2 linked regions of the Macaca mulatta genome follow. The protein of the gene in region 1 purifies or fractionates together with the protein of each later gene. This does not show direct contact. Links are inferred from orthologs where the notes say so. Each region holds a gene or a part of one and is shown on either strand. Other genes may lie near its edges. The genes, in order: RIGI and SQSTM1.

The links.
Region 2: the proteins of RIGI (region 1) and SQSTM1 purify together in Homo sapiens (affinity purification with western blotting; 5 studies listed by BioGRID). This does not show direct contact. The link is inferred for Macaca mulatta from reciprocal best matches to the Homo sapiens genes RIGI and SQSTM1.

The regions. Positions count from the first base shown.
Region 1 is NC_133420.1:66,917,347-66,925,107, forward strand, and holds the end of RIGI (antiviral innate immune response receptor RIG-I), read left to right. Parts: intron 1-706; exon of another isoform or gene 707-2,233; coding exon 2,234-2,377; exon of another isoform or gene 2,378-2,594; intron 2,595-4,840; coding exon 4,841-5,137; downstream 5,138-7,761.
Region 2 is NC_133411.1:188,801,379-188,810,039, forward strand, and holds the start of SQSTM1 (sequestosome-1), read left to right. Parts: upstream 1-3,873; 5' UTR 3,874-3,970; intron 3,971-4,553; coding exon of another isoform or gene 4,554-5,049; exon of another isoform or gene 5,050-5,326; intron 5,327-5,415; exon of another isoform or gene 5,416-5,653; intron 5,654-8,661. Other genes in the region: MGAT4B (alpha-1,3-mannosyl-glycoprotein 4-beta-N-acetylglucosaminyltransferase B), read right to left, coding at 1-2, 90-230, 320-505, 4,554-5,049. UniProt on the Homo sapiens protein: Molecular adapter required for selective macroautophagy (aggrephagy) by acting as a bridge between polyubiquitinated proteins and autophagosomes.

The sequences.
Region 1 (7,761 bases):
TGTATTGATAAGGCAATCCCTAATGAATGGAGATTGCCTTATCAATACAAAACTACAAGCCACCCCATTACAACATTTTCATGGCTCTTAGCATAAGACTAGCCTAACAGAGGGAGGCAACGCTGATGGGCATTTACCCTGTGCTGGGCAGGCCTGAGCAGTCATAAGCTCATGTTATCTCCTGACAGTCCATGAAGCAGATGCTATCGTCCCATTTTGTATGTAAAGAAACGAGGCGCTTGCCCAAAATGACGTAGCTGCTAAGTGACAGGGACGCTATTTGCATCTAGGCTGTCTGGATCCACCTGGGACACTTGAAAGCATAGTCTGATATAGAGAGGCGCCACCATAAACCAGTGGGACGGACAGAATCTTCCATAGAAGACATGGAGGAAATCTGTGTTCTTTCTTCCTTCATGATGTTTCAGGGTTCCTTTTATCATTTCCTCTGTTTAGAAAACTTCCTTTAGCCAATATTTTAGGGTAAATCTGCTGATGACAGATTCTCAGTGTTCCTTCATCTGAGAATGTCTTCATTTCTTCCTTATTTTTGAAGGTGGCATCTTGCTGAGTCTAGGGTTCTGGGATGGACTGTTCTTTTCTTTCAGCATTTAAAAAATATTGTGCCACTTCCAGGTAGCCTCCATTGTTTCTAATGACAAATCTCCTGTTATTCAGACTGATTTCCCCCTATGGGTAAGATGTCTTTTTCTTTTTTTTTTTCCTCTGACTGCTTTCAAGATTTTTTTCTTCAGTTTTCATAAGTTTAATTATAACGTGTCTCAGAGTGTTTTTTGAAGGTGTTTATCCTGTTTGGAGCTTGTTCAGCTTCTTGAATCTTGGTTGATGTAGCTTGTTAAATTTGGGATATATTTGGCTGTTATTTCTTTGAATACTTTTTAAGCCCTGCTCTTCTCTCCTTGCAGAACTCCAGTGCCATGACATCGTTTTTTATAGTCCTACAGGTCCTTGAGACTTTGCTTCCCCCCCCCCCCCCAGTGTATTTTGTTGTTGTTTAGATTGGGTAATTTCTGTTGTTCTTTCAGATCACTGACTCTTTTCTTTGTCCCTTCCATTCTGCCACGGAAAGCCCATCCATTGACCTTTTTATTTTGGTTGTATCTTTCAGTTCTAAACTTTGTCTTCCATTTCATTGTTGAACCTTTATGTTTTCTCTTTATGTTTCAAAAGTATTTATAACTGTCCATCGAAGCATCTTTATTAGGGGCTTTAAAATCTTTCTCATCTCAGTGTTGGCATCTATGATTTTTTTTTTCATTCAGTTTGAGATCTATTTATTGGTATGAAGAGTTTTATACTATCATGTCCATGGTTCTAAGTTGGACCATGTTCTTAGCCAAGGACTAGATTTTGAATTAGAATAAAATCATACTACACATATGCAACAATATTCCCTGTGGCTGAAGGGGAGAGAGAAAAAAGGTTTTAGATGTTGAGGGCTGTATTAGTCTGTTTTTATACCACTGACAAAGACATACCTGAGATTGGGAAAACAAAGAGGTTTAATTGGACTTACAGTTCCACATGGCTGGGGAGGCCTCAGAATCATGGTGGGAGGCAGAAGGCACTTCTTACATGGCAGCAGCAGGAGAAAAATGAGGAAGAAGCAAAAGTGGAAACCCCTGATAAACTCATCAGATCTCGGGAGACTTATTCACTATCATAAGAATAGCACAGGAAAGACTGGCCCCCATGATTCAATTACCTCTCCCTGGGTCCGTCCCATAACACACGGGAATTCTGGAAGATGAAAACAATTCAAGTTGAGATTTGGGTAAGGATACAGCCAAACCGTATCAGGGGCTCTTCTGCCTGCTGTATCACTCATTGGGTTTGTGCCTGCAAATGGATATAATTATGCCTGAAACAGTGCATATTGTATATCTGGTACAGGTTTTGCTTTTTTTCAAGTTTTGCAAAACACTAAAGTAGAAAGCATGGTTCATATGACTATTCTATGGACATCTTTAGTGCTTTTATGAGCATTTTTGATGAAGAAATTGAAAGACTAGTTGGAGGCCACAATTAAACATTGACTAATATTAAGTTAGGAGAACCAATAAAATCTGTGATTTTACCAAGTCAGGTACCATATGTTCATGGAAGTTGTATATGAATGATTGTATATGTGCATGTATATGTATATATCTATCTGTGCCTGTTTCTCTCTATATGTGTTAAATTATATTTGAGGTCTTTATTTTTGCATTAGATTCTGCATATACAGACTCATGAAAAATTAATCAGAGATAGTCAAGAAAAACCAAAACCTGTACCTGATAAGGAAAATAAAAAACTGCTCTGCGGAAAGTGCAAAGCCTTGGTATGTTACACAGCTGACATAAGAGTGATAGAGGTAAGCTGCCTTTTTACAAAGTGCCTGGTCATGTTTTAGCACTAGCTAAAGCTTACTGTCGGTGAAATATTTATAGTAAAACTCTATTATTTCCATTGCTATTATGGCCATGATCTGTGTATTTGAAAAAAAGCTAAGAAGTGAAAAAGAAATACTAAATGTTCAATAATAAATAGTTTTTGGCCAGGCATAGTGGCTCACACCTGTAATCCAAACACTTTGGGAGGCCGAGTTGGGTAAATCACAAGGTCAGGAGTTCGAGACCAGCCCGGCCAACATGATGAAACCCTGTCTCTACTAAAAATACAAAAATTAGCTGGGCGTAGGGGCAGGCGGCTGTAATCTTAGCTACTCGGGAGGCTGAGGCAGGAGAATTGCTTGAACCCAGGAGGCAGAGGTTGCAGTGAGCCAAAATCACGCCATTCCACTCCAGCCCAGGTGACAGAGAGACTCTGTCACAAAAAAAAAATTTAAAAAAAAAAAAAAAGCTGGGCATGGTAGCAAGAGCCTGTAGTTCCAGCTACTCAGAAGGCTAGGTGGGCTGATTGTTTGAACTTGAGAGATCAAGGCTGCAGTAAGCCATGATTGCACCACTGCACTCTAGTCTGGATGACAGAGTAAGACCCTGGCTCAAAAAAAGAAAAAAATAGTTTTAAAACATTGCTGTACAGCCACTTAATATTACACAGCCATTTAAAAAAAAGCCATTAAAGTGGTCAGGCCGAGCATGGTGGCTCATGCCTGTAATCCCAGTACTTTGAGGCAGGTGGATCACCTGAGGTCAGGAGTTCGAGACCAGCCTGGCCAACATGGCAAAACCCTCTCTCTACTAAAAATACAAAAATAAGCTGGGCATGGTGGTGGGCACCTGTAATCCCAGCTACTCAGGAGGCTGAGGCAGGAGAATCACTTGAACCCGGGAGGCGGAGGTTGCAGTGAGCTGATGTCGCACCACTGCACTCTAGCCTGGGTGACAGAGCAAGACTCTGTCTCAAAAAAAAAAAAAAAAAAAAGGCATGCTACATGCAATGAAGTGTCCTGGATTAGCTCCTAGAACAGATAAAGGATATGACTAGAGAAAGAGTGGTAAAATCTGTAGTTTAGATAATAGTAATGTACTGATGTTAATATCTTGGTTTTGACAAATGTACTGTGGTATATGAAATGTTAGCATTTGGGGAAACTGGGCAAAGGGTATGCAGAAATTTTCTGGGATATCTTTGCAATTTTTCTGTAAATCTAAAATTGTTCCAAAGTAAAGTTTATTTTAAAGATTATGAAGTTTATGTAGTATAATGAAAAACTGCTTACAAACTAATGTGGAAAAAAGTAACCAGAACACAAAATTATAAAGATGCTACTTTATAGCTGTGTGAAACAGCAGCAAATACCATTGTCACTGTCAAGAAAAAGTCAAAAAACTTACCTTTCTACAGAAAAACAAAGGCTAGGGGAACTATACCAAAATGTATTAATATTTTGGTGGTGAGATTCCATGATCTTTTTCTCTTTCCCTAGTACTTTATGTTTTCCAAACATTCCTTTTGGGCTATGGATCACTTCTATAATGAAGAAAATATATCCTTATTTGTAAAATGTGACATCTGAAGGTTGGCTTTCTATTGCAGCCTTATATTTTGTTCTTAAAACTTTCAGAAAAAGGGTTAGAAAAATCTCCAAAGAGAAATGTGGGGTATAACTGTCTTGCATGTGGGGTTACGGTGGAGGGGCTGGGCTGGCTCAGATGAGGAGTTATTACTTCAGGGTGTTCCATTCATCTTCAGAAAGCAGAAATCTCTCATCAGCTCAGCTGTTTGGGCAAAAAGCATATTAGGAGTCATATTGCTAAGTTCCCTTACCTTTCTAAGTCTGCTTCTTTAGCGTAAAAGGTCCTTTTAGCTCCAATTTGGGTGATTATTCTACTAAAAATGGCCCTTTTAGACCCTATGTTTTCCTGAGGGACTAGTATGTTGGATCTGCATTTGTTTGAGCCGTTTACTCTAAAGTTGACTCTAGGTGGGGCCTGTGAACACGTTAGTCCCTGACCTTCTTCAATTGCACCTTGACCTTGGTCATTTTCCCTGTATCCTTTGGATTGTGCCTGCTAGGGCCACTGGTGAACTTCAGCTTCACAGATTTTCAACAAACATCGCTTGTGTTTTTGAATAATAAGTATCTACCTTCAGAAGCTGGGTTACCTGGGTCTTTCTTAATCTTCCTCTCTATGAGGTGCCCAGTGTCCTCACTTGCAACACTACCCTGCCTGTAGAAGGGAGTCAGGTGCATGGATCGTCCTCTGGACTTCAGGTGAATCCATATTTGTTTTCCTCCAATAAAATAAGTGAGACCCACCTATTCTTCATCTCAGATTATTGTGGAGTTCTCTTTTTTTTTTTTTTAATCACAATTATGTACTGGTTCTAATGTTCTCTTTTGTGTGTTATTCCATCCCTTTATCTGTAGGAATGCCATTACACTGTGCTTGGAGATGCTTTTAAGGAATGCTTTGTGAGGAGACCACATCCCAAGCCAAAGAAGTTTTCAAATTTTGATAAAAGAGAAAAGATATTCTGTGCCCGACAGAACTGCAGCCATGACTGGGGAATCCATATGAAGTACAAGACATTTGAGATTCCAGTTATAAAAATTGAAAGTTTTGTGGTGGAGGATATTGCAACTGGAGTTCAGACACTGTACTCGAAGTGGAAGGACTTTCATTTTGAGAAGATACCATTTGATCCAGCAGAAATGGCCAAATGATATCAGGGCCTCAATCTTCAGCTACAGGGAATGAGTAACTTTGAGTGGAGAAGAAACAAACATAGTGGGTATAATCATGGATCGCTTGTACGCCTGTGAAAATATTTTTTTAAAAATATCTTTAACAGTTTGTATTATATTATATATGCAAAGCACACGAGTGAATCACAGCACTGAATATTTTGTAGGCCAACAGAGCTCTTAGTACTTGGGAAAAATTTAAAAGCCTCATTTCTAGCTTTCTTTTTAGAGTAACTGCCAACAAACACACAGTAATCACTCTGTACACACCGGGATAGATGAATGAATGGAATGTTGGGAATTTTTATCTCCTTTTTTCTCCTTAACCTACTGTACATTGGCTTTTGCCATTAACAATCTACTGAAATTGTTCTTTTGAAGGTTACCAGTGACTCTGGTTGCCAAATCCACTGGGCACTTCTTGACCTTCTATTTGACTTCTGCACATTTGGCCCTGTTGAGCACTCTTCTTGAAACTGTCCCTGGGCTCTTCTCTCTTCTAGTTCTAGTCTAGTCTTTTTTATTGAGTCCTCCTCTTTGCTGATCCCTTAAGGGTTGGTAATTCCAAGGGTTCAATATATATACATGTATATACTGTAAATATGTATATATAACTATTATACATACATACAGGTATGTATATGTAATGGTTATATGTACTCATGTTCCCTGTGTAGCAACATGTGGTACGGCTACACAGAGAACATGAGTACATAAAGCCATTTTTATGCTCACTACTAAAAGCTGTCCACTCTAGAGTTGCTGTATGTAGCAATGTGTGTCCACTCTACAGTGGACAGCTTTTAGTAGTGAGCATAAAAATGATAAAATATTTCTTGAAAACTTAGTTTACTATATATCTTGCCCTATTAATATGTTCTCTTAATATGTGCCATTGTTCTCTTTGACGATTTTCCTTTAATGGTTGATGTTCAACACCTGGACTGAATGTCTGTTCTCAGATCCCTTGGATGTTACAGGTGAGGCAGTCTGACTGTCCTTTCTACTTGAAAGATTAGAATATGTATCCAAATGGCATTCATGTGTCACTTAGCAAGGTTTGCTCATGCTTCAAAGAGCTTAGTTTGCGGTTTTTCTAGACATGGAAGCAAGTGCCTGAGTTCCCTGGAGATCAACGGGATGAGGTGTTCCAGCCGCCTCCCTCTCCATGCAATCTAGTGAGCAATGGTGCAGGCAGGGAGCCAGAGAAACTTGCCAGTTATATAACTTCTCTTTGGCTTTTCTTCATCTATAAAACAAGGATAATACTGAACTGTAAGGGTTAGTGGAGAGTTTTTAATTAAAAGAATGTGTGAAATGTACATGACACAGTAGTTGCTTGATAATAATTACTAGTAGCAGTATTCTTACTAAGATCCAATACAATTTGATTATTTAAACCAAGTTTATGAGTTGATTTTTTTTTCATTTTCCATTTGTATTTTATTAAGAATGTCTTTTCTTATGTGACTGTTTTTTTAATTGCTATTTGATATGGTTTGGCTCTGTGTCCCCACCCAAATCTCATCTTGAATTATAATCCCCATGCGTCAAGGGAGGGACCTGATGGGAGGTGATTAGATCACGGGGGCAGTTGTCCCCATGCTGTTCTTGGGATAGTGAGTTCTCATAAGAGCTGATGGTTTTATAAGTGTTTGACAATTCCTCCTTTACACACACACTTTCTCTCTCATCTGCTGCCATGTAAGACGTGCCTACTTCCCCTTCTGCCATGATTGTAAGTTTCCTGAGGCCTCCTCAGCCATGTGTAACTGTGAGTCTATTAAACCTCTTTTCTTTATAAATTACCCAGTCTCAGGCAGTTCTTTATAGCAGTGTGAAAATGGACTAATACACTACTGTTTAAGAACTCCAATAGGATGTGTAAAACATCTACCAGAAATAGATTTAATAAGAGAAAAAAAAATTTTTTTTGAGATGGAGTCTCACTCTGTTGCCCAGGTTGGAGTATAGTGGTGTGATCTCGGCTCACTGCAATCTCTGCCTTCTGGGTTCAAGTGATTCTCCTGCCTCAGCCTCCCAAGTAGCTGGGTACGGGCACCTGCCACCACACCCGGCTAATTTTTATTATTTTTAGTGGAGTCAGGGTTTCACCATGTTGGCCAGGCTGATCTTGAACTCCTGACCTCAAGTGATCCACTTGCCTCGGCCTCCCACAGTGTTGGGATTACAGGCATAAGCCACCATAACTGGCCAAGAAAAGTTCTTTTAAGTGTGTAAATGATTCAATTTGGATGAAGGTGAATAGCCCTCTTCAGCCAACGGAGGCAGGCAGACTGAAGTGAAATAAGGAAAACTTAGCATTTCCTTGTTTGACTTTTAATAGAATAATGTCATTGCCAGGCATGGACTCAAACAAAGTAGGCACTTGGTTAACATGTATTGAATGAAAGAGATGAGTAGGTAGGCTTTTAGGAAGTGGATCTCTTGACTGACTCCCAAATGCTGGTCATTGCATTTCTAGACCAAAGGCCACATTTTAGAAACAACTGGGGAGTCTTCTTCATGGACACATGCCCAGCCCCATTACAGCATCCTGGCAGGGTGTCCAGCCATGTGCATGTTTTGAAGCTCCTGTGGTT
Region 2 (8,661 bases), on another chromosome or scaffold:
CACTATGGGGGACGGAGGCGCGACGCTGGGAAGGGCGCGGGGGGAACCCGCCACCCCTACCCCATGCTCCTCCCTGCCCACGCCCCTACCTCCCGTGCGGCCCTGGCCCACGCGCACCGCGGGCTGCAGACTGCTCTCCTTGGCCAGCAGGTGTGGCAGGTGGTGGAAGACGGTGGGCAGGTGCAGCACGTGCCGGTGTGAGCCGTTCCACGGCTTCAATCGGGGGTCCTCTGGATGGGTCGTGAAGGATCGGGACTGAGACCAGGGAGCCTACAACCAGCCCACCCCCGCCTTTTCCCCCTCCCGCCCCAGACCTCACCTGTTAGGCGGCCCCAGGTGCGATTGCCGTCTCCGTCTCGCAGCGCCTGCCTTTCCGACACGGCCCTCTTGATCTCGTCCAGCACCAAGTTGAGCTCCTTGGAGCGCTTGAGGCTCTCCTGCTCAGCTGCGTGCAACCGATCGCGCAGCGCCAGGAACTCCCGCTGGTAAACGTCCACAACGTCGCCTGCAGGTGGTACGCAAGCCGTTACGAGGGGGCAGTCTAGAGCCGCCCTAGGGCCCCTTTAGTGCCAGCGCACACATCTGGGTGCCCATCTGTGCAACAGCTCATTTACATCTGTTCTCGTGCCTGCCACACGTGAGACAGCTGGGGTCACTCTGAAATTACACTGACACGAATGCTTGTGGGGAGAAAACCAGGGGAATTTGCCCTCTTCCCGGGGTTATTTTATTCTCTGAGGAGGCGTCTGAAGTGGGAATTTCCAGACCTAGGTAGGTGGATCCTAAGCAAGGGCTGGAACAGCCTCAGACCGAAGCCGCTCTGTCCGTTGGCCTCCAAAGCCCACTCTTGCTTTTTGCAGCACATGCTCCTTCCAGGGCACGGGATACCCAAGGTCCTGGTGCTAGTTCTTCACTGTCCTCGTGGCAGTCGCTAGTTGCCCACCTTGCCCTGGATTGTTAGCCTCACAATGGCCCCGGGGGTGGCTGCTGCAGTTCCAGGAGCCCACCTCACTTCATTGCTCAAGGACAGTCAACAGCAGCGAGGGGACTAGCTCTGAATGCTCTGGTGCCTGTGTCTCTGGAGACCTGTGCTGTGCCTGGGGCACCCTGAAGGGTCCGCATGCCCCCCCAGGGGACCCATGTCAGAAGCTCCAGCTGGGCCCAGGCATGAGGGCTGTAGGCAGATGGGGCAGCACACAGGTAGGGCTGCCCGACAGTAGAGAGGCACCACCAGTCTGGCAGGGACCAGTGAGCAAGACTGAGATCAACAACCTCCCGGTGGCTGGGTGCCCACAGTCCCTGCGGAAGTACGCTCAAGGCCTCTGCCAGGCGAGCCTCTGAAAACCTATGTGGCCTGCAAGGCCTTATGTTTCCAAGTCTCCAAGTTTAAGACGCCTGACAGAACTCCCTCTACCCACAGATAGCTCTTCCATTCCTTGATCCTTGGTGGGTTCACAGACCCCAGAGTTCCGTGGGATGGCCTCACCCCGCCAGCGGCCCTGTGCATGATCAAGGTCATGATCAGGCAAAGTCCAGTCACCTCAGGACACACCCCTTTCCAAAGCAGAGGCAGGAGGTCGAAGTGCCAAGCGACCAGGGAATAGGAAGGGGTGGACCTGGGCAGGAGGGAAAGGTGTAAGGAGCAGGGAGCGAAGTGGATCTTCCCTGAGGCATCTCTTACCCAAGAAGCTAGCCCCCGCCCTCCCACACCCTGCCTCTCTGGGGCTAAGGCTGAGGCCAAGTGGAGCCTCTGGACAGGCCCTGGCGGGAGGGAAGGGGGAGTCAGATTACCGGATCTGCCAGGCTCCACGCTGGGCTCAGGGGCTAGGTTACCCTGGAAACCTGACCCTTTGAATGCAGAGCTGGCTACCCCCAACACTCACCCATTGCTGGGCGACACTGAGGTGTAGGCAGCGGTTGCCCACAGGGATGGGACTGGAGGTGCAGAGGCCTACAGAGCCATCAGGAGTGGGTTCAGAGCCACCTGCACCTGCAGGTGTGCCTCCCTCCTGCCTAGATGCCAGTCCCCGCTTGCCTACTTACAGCCACTGCCCATCCCCGAGCCCCACCCTGGCTTTCTCTGTCCCACATGACTGCCTCAGATGGACAGGCTGGGTGGGCAGTGGTGGGTGACGCTGCCTGAATCACCCTGGAAACAGCCTGCTCCTTACCCTGGCTTCCTTCCTAGGGGCCTCCCCTCTCCCCCAGGTCCTGTTTACCAGGAGGTAAAGGGACCCACGGGCTCCCACCTACACCAACCCTTCTGTCATTTCCCTTCACACTGCAGGCCCTGGCCCTGGGCAGCCTCCCCCGCCTGCCAGCTCCCCCACCCGCCTGGCCCTCAACTGTGCGTCGAACTCTGTGACTGCCTCCCCATGGGCCAGGCCCCATGCCAGGGCTCTGCCAAGCCATGCTGACATCCTCTAACCTTCAGGAGCTGGGGAGGCAGCTCAGGTGGAGAGGGGCCAGCCTGGGAGCCCCTGCCATACCTTCCTGCCTCAGGGCCACATTGTTAAGAACAGCAGCAATGAGGCCTGGAGGCTGTGTAACCCTCCCTGGAGGCGAGTCATTAGGACACCCTGAGGCCCGCAAACCACAGTTCCCCCTGCTTCCCTCTTGGTTGGGAAAAGATTAAAGAGCCAAGCTGGGGCACAACCTTTGTGCCCTGTATTCAGGGAAAAGGAACAGGATCAGAGGGGCATGGGCAGGTATCAGGCCGTTAACAGTCTGCTGTCACCATGCATGTGTGCGGCAGATGTCTGTCTCCTCTCCAGACCCTGCACCCTCCCAGGAGTCAAGGAGGGTGTCTGTCATTGCTGAGGTCCAGGCCTGGGGAGGAGGACAGCCTGGAGGCTGGGAGAGCTGTGTGGCTGAGACCCTGGGCCACCCGCAAGGGTCTGCCTCCCTGGGCAGATCCTCAGCAGGTGCTTGGCTGAAGGCCACAGTTTGAGTGCTGGCAGAGCTGCTCCACAGGCCAGATATGAAACTGGGCCCCAAACCCTTCTCCAGGGTCCATTTTGCATTAGTCTAAAGAGGCCGTCCTGGGCTTGACCTTGGGCTTCCAGGATGACGCCCGCACCTGCTGTCCTTCCTCTCTGGTTCCCTGCCCATCTCCTTCCTTCTCTGCAGATTCCACTTCCTGGGTTCTTCCCTCAAGTTCCTGGACCCCCGCTGGCTGCAAAGTGGAGGCCAGGTTCCAATTTGGCCTCAGACTGGCTAAGCCTGGTTTCGCCAGGGGCTTAAGACAGACTTTCTACATGTGACAATGAGATGGGTTCACATAATAGCCTGGATTCCTAGCTTCACTGAGTCACCACAGAAACAGTGACAGCCCCTCAACAAGGCAGGCCTAGGTCACCCCCTACTCATGCCTCACAGGATCCTTAGGCTTCCCTCCCCTAGGGGCTGGGTCCTTGAATCTAAGCGCTCCCCTTCTTAGCTCTCCTGTTCCCCAGGCCCTCAAAGAGCCAGCCTCCCGGATGCCCCCACGGAGCCAGCGCCTCTCCCTCACTCTGCTGTCCCGGAGACTGGCTCCCTGTGGTAAGCCAGGCTTGCAGAGGTGGCTCCTGACATCAATCTGGCGGCATGTGGCTGCTGTGGGAGACACACACTGGCTGAGGACAAAGGGCAAGGGCTCATGGCTCTACCCACGACTGGAAGAGTGTGCCCCAGCCCTTCAGATAAGGCCCCACCTAGGCCTTCATGCCAGTCTGCTAGTCACCCTGCCAAGGACCCAGAATGTCCTTCCCCAGGTGACACACCCTACCTACAGATAATTCTGCCCCAGTCATGCCTGCCCTTGATAATATACGCCACCACCGGGGCCTCTGCCCCAGCCCTCCCTCCCCTGTCCTGCAGTCTCCCCGCAGAGTCCCTGGGTGATGGGGCTCTGGCCCTGGAGCCCCAAGGCCAGCCCAGGCCTCTGCTCTGACAGAACAAGTGCGGCAGGCGGGCGCGCTGGCAGAGCTCGGTGAGGGTAGCTGAGGCTCGGAAGGTCCGGAAGGGTCCAGGTCCTCCCAGCCTCCTCAGCCTCTCTGGGGTGGCGCTCCGGGACAGGGAAACAGGGAAGCAGGTGGCAGGGAGGCCAAGGGGGCAGGTAGCCTCAGCCCGCTTAGGCCTCCAGCAGGCAGGCAGGCAGGAGGCCACTCTCCCAGAACCTCCAGGCTAGGGGAAGAGCGCCTCGGAGGGCTCAGGCCCTACTCGGCCCCACCATCGCCAAGACCGGTCAGGGGGGCGGGGGGCGGGGGGTCGGTCTGCACCCTCCGCCTGCAAGAGCGCTGGGCGGACGCGGAGGGCGGGGGCCAGCCCGGGAAGCTCGGGGTGCGGGGGAGGGGCTGGGGCCGCACAGGAGCGCAGGGCAGCAGTGGCCGGGCTGGCTCAGGACGCCTCTCCCTCCCTCCCCCGCTCCCATAGGCCGGATGCTGCCGAGGCGTTCCGGGCGCCCGGGGGTCGGCGAGGGAGACCCAGGACCGGGTGTCACGCCGGGGTCGCCCAGGCCGGCGCGGGGCTGCGGGAGGCAGGGTCGGGGGAGGGCGGGTGGGGGGATGCCTGACCGCCTAGCGGTGCCCTCGCGCCTGTGTCCCTCACGCCGGCCCAGGTCCTGCCCAAGTGGCTGTGGCTGGCGTTCCGGGACCTCTGTGACCTTGGGTCTGTGCCGAGACCCCCACGGGTCCCCAGCTCAGCTGCGCCCGCGGAGTCCGGTCCGGGGCACCCACGGGCGCGGCCAGCGCTGGGCGGGCAGGCGCAGCCCGGGCCCGAGGAGGACGCCGCGGCTCCAGCAGCAAACAAGTGGGGGAGGGTGGGAGGGGCGTCCTCCGCGCCGCCCGGGCGGGGAAGGGGCGCCTGCGTCGGCTTCCGGCCGCCTCCCGCGGCCACCGCCGGGCCCGCTCCCGCCGCCGACGCCCAGGTGCGCCAGGTGCGGGCCGGGCCGGTCGGGCGGGGGTCGCGCTTACCTTTCTGGCCGCTGAGTGCCGCGTACCAGGACAGCGAGAGGAAGGCGCACAGGCAGAAGAGCAGCAGCGTCAGGAAGGTGCCATTGCGGAGCCTCATCTCCTCCGATGCGCGGCGGGCGCCCGCGGGGCCGAGGCTGCATGGCCCGGGGAACCGGGGCCGGGGCGCAGGGGTCGGAAGGCGGCGGCTGCAGGGGCCCCGGCCCCGGGGCGGGGAGGGGCGGGGGGGCCGGGGCCGGGCAGGGACCGGGCCGGGGAGCGCGCCTGCCGCTTCTCAGGGCGCAAGCTTTGTGCCCTGTACTCAGGGAAAAGGAACAGGCTCAGAGGAGCAGAGGCAGATATCAGGCTCACTGCAGGTATCAGGGGCGCGGGACACTGGCGGCCTCGCCTCCGCGGCAGGGCCGGGCCAGGCCGGGCTGGGCTGGGCTGGGCGGCGAGAGCCGCGGCCCGGCCTGGATCTGGGGCCTGGATCTGGGGCCGCCGCGGAGTCGACGGCGCAGGGCGGGGCGGCCCGGATTTAAAGGGGCCGCAGCACCGCCGCCGCCAGCGCCGCGAGGGGCGGGGTGGGGGCCGGCGCCCGTGATCCCGACCGGCTCCCGCAGCCCCGCTTGGGCTCGTGCGAGTCGGCCTTAGGTAAGGCCGGAGTGGGAGTGCGGGTCGACCGCAGCCGGCGCGGGCGGCGGGGGCGGCGCTCTCGGGCCCAGGTACTCTTCTCGGCAACATCTCCTCCGCGCGCGGACCCCGACCCCACTCGCACGTTCTCTGGGCTGTTTCCCGAGCGTGAGGGGCTCTGGGTGGCGCGGGGGACTGGGCGCTTGGAGGGGACTGGGCGCTTGGAGCCGGGAGCCACCGTTGCCTTCGGCGCCGCCCAGGGCGCTTTCCCGCTCAGGAGCTTCCTCTGGGGCGCGGGACTGAGACGCACAGGGGCCCGGGAGGCGGGAACAATGGGCCGTTCTAGGGGGAATCAGGGCCAATGCTCGTGGGTGCAGAGGAATGACCAGCCCAGAACCGGACCGGCTTCCCGGGACAGTGGCGGCCCAAGCGCGCCGCTTACGGGAGCAACGGGCCCTGCTCCCGGTGGTGCAGCGGCCACCTCGCCCCGCGCAGCCCAGCCGGCTCTTGATAGGGGCCCACGCCTTCGGATTTTTGTGGGTTTTTTTTTTTGAGACAGAGTCTCGCTCTGTCGCCCAGGCTGGAGTGCAATGGCGCGATCTCGGCTCACTGCGATCTCAGCCTCCGGAGTAGCCGGGATTACAGGCGCCCGGCTAATTTTTTTTCTTTCTTTTTTTTTTTTTTTAAGACTTTGGGCAGCGCCTGGCCCGCTCCCAGCTTGGACCTCCCAGTCCTAGGGGCCCGGTTCCGGGTGGAGGCTGCAGGGACCTCTGCCCCGCCCGCTCGGGGGAGGCCTGAGGGGCTGGACTCAGACTGGGAGTGAATGCAGCTTTGTCTTCCTAGTCCAGCCCCGGCCCACACCTGGGGCTGGGTGGAATCGGGAGCTTCTACGGGTCTGGACAATTCTCCCACAGAGAGATTGATGCCAAGAAGTGGGTGGCCGAGCCAGAGGCCGAGGTGGGCTGGATCCTGAGGCCCAGTGTTAAAGGACAGGGCTCCCCATTCAGTGCTCCTGGAACATTCCGAACTAGAGACTGGGACTTGTAGGCGCCTTCTAGAGGAAACTCGTGTTTTCACAGGTGTCTTCTATGTGTGGCAAAGGATAATGGCTTTTCACTTAGGCTGTGGCATAAAGGGCCTTAGAAATTGTTAATGAGTTACTTAACGTTAAAACTTAGTCACCCAGGCCCGGTGTGGTGGCTCATGCCTGTAATCCCAGCACTTTGAGAAGCTAAGGCGGGAGGATCATTTGAGCTCACCAGTTCGAGACCAACCTGGGCAACATAGTGACACCTCATCTCTATAAAATTAAAATTTTTTAAACAATTGTTTTTGGATTTTTTTTGGTAATTTTTAAAATATTTATTTATTTATTTATTTTTGAGACAGAGTCTTGCCTTGTCGCCCAGGCTGGAGTGCAGTGGCCTGATCTAGACTGACTGCAAGCTCCACCTCCCGGGTTCATGCCATTCTCCTGCCTCAGGCTCCCGAGTAGCTGGGACTACAGGCCAATGGCACCACACCCGGCTAATGTTTTGTATTTTTTAGTAGAGACGGGGTTTCACCATGTTAGCCAGGATGGTCTCGATCTCCTGACCTCGTGATCCACCTGCTTCAGCCTCCCAAAGTGGTGGGATTACAGGTGTGAGCCACCACGCCCGGCCTTTTTTGTTTTGTTTTTAAAGATGGAGTCTCGCTCTGTTGCCCAGGCTGGAGTGCAGTGGCATAATCTCGACTCACTGCAACTTCTGCCTCCCAGGTTCAAGGAATTCTCCTGCCTCATCCTCCTAAGTAGCTGGGATTACAGGCGCGCCCCACCACACCCAGCTAATTTTTTTGTAGTTTTAGTAGAGGTGGGGTTTCACCATGTTGGTCAGTCTGGTCTCAAACTCTTGACCTCGTGATCCACCCACATTGGCCTCCCAAAGTACTGGGATTACAGGCATGAGCCACCGTGCCTGGCCTTTTTTTTTTTTTTTTTGAAACGGAATCTTGCTCCGTGGCCCAGGCTGGAGTGCAGTCAGGCAATCTTGGCTCACTGCAACCTCCGCCTCCTGAGTTCAAGCGATTCTCCTGCCTCACCTGCCTGAGTAGCTGGGATTACAGGCATATGCCACCATGCCCAGCTAATTTTTGTATTTTTAGCAGAGACAGGCTTTCACCATGTTGGTCAGACTGGTCTCGAACTCCTGACCTCAGGTGATCCGCCTGCCTCAGCCTCCCAAAGTGCTGGGATTACAGGTGTGAGCCACCAGGGGCGCCCAACCTAATTTTTGTATTTTTAGTAGAGATGGGGTTTCACCATGTTGGCCAGGTTGGTCTCCAACTCCTGACCTCAGGTGATCCGCCTGCCTCGGCCTCCCAGAGTGCTGGGATTACAGGCGTGAGCGTGCCGGGCCAACAATTTTTTTTTTATTTTAATTTTAATTTATTTTTATTTTTTATTATACTTTAAGTTCTAGGGTACATGTGCACAACATGCAGGTTTGTTATGTATGTATACATGTGCCATGTTGGTGTGCTGTACCCATTAACTCATCATTTACATTAGGTGTATCTCCTAATGCTATCCCTCCCCCCTCCCCCCACCCCACGACAGGCCCTGGTGTGTGATGTTCCCCTACCTATGTCCAAGTGATCTCATTGTTCAACTCCCACCTAAGAGTGAGAACATGCGGTGTTTGGTTTTCTGTCCTTATGATAGTTTGCTCAGAATGACGTTTTCCAGCTTCATCTATGTCCCTACAAAGGACATGAACTCATCCTTTTTTATGGCTGCATAGGATTCCATGGTGTATATGTGCCACATTTTCTTAATCCAGTCTGTCACTGATGGACATCTGGGTTGGTTCCAAGTCTTTGCTATTGTGAATAGTGCCGCAATAAACATATGTGGGCATGTGTCTTTATACCTGCATTATTTATAATCCCTTGGGTATATACCCAGTAATGGGATGGCTGGGTCAAATGGTATTTCTAGTTCTAGATCATTGAGGAATCACCACACCGTCTTCCACAATGGTTGAACTAGTTTACAGTCCCACCGACAGTGTAAAAGTGTTCCTATTTCTCCTTATCCTCTCCAGCACCTGTTGTTTCC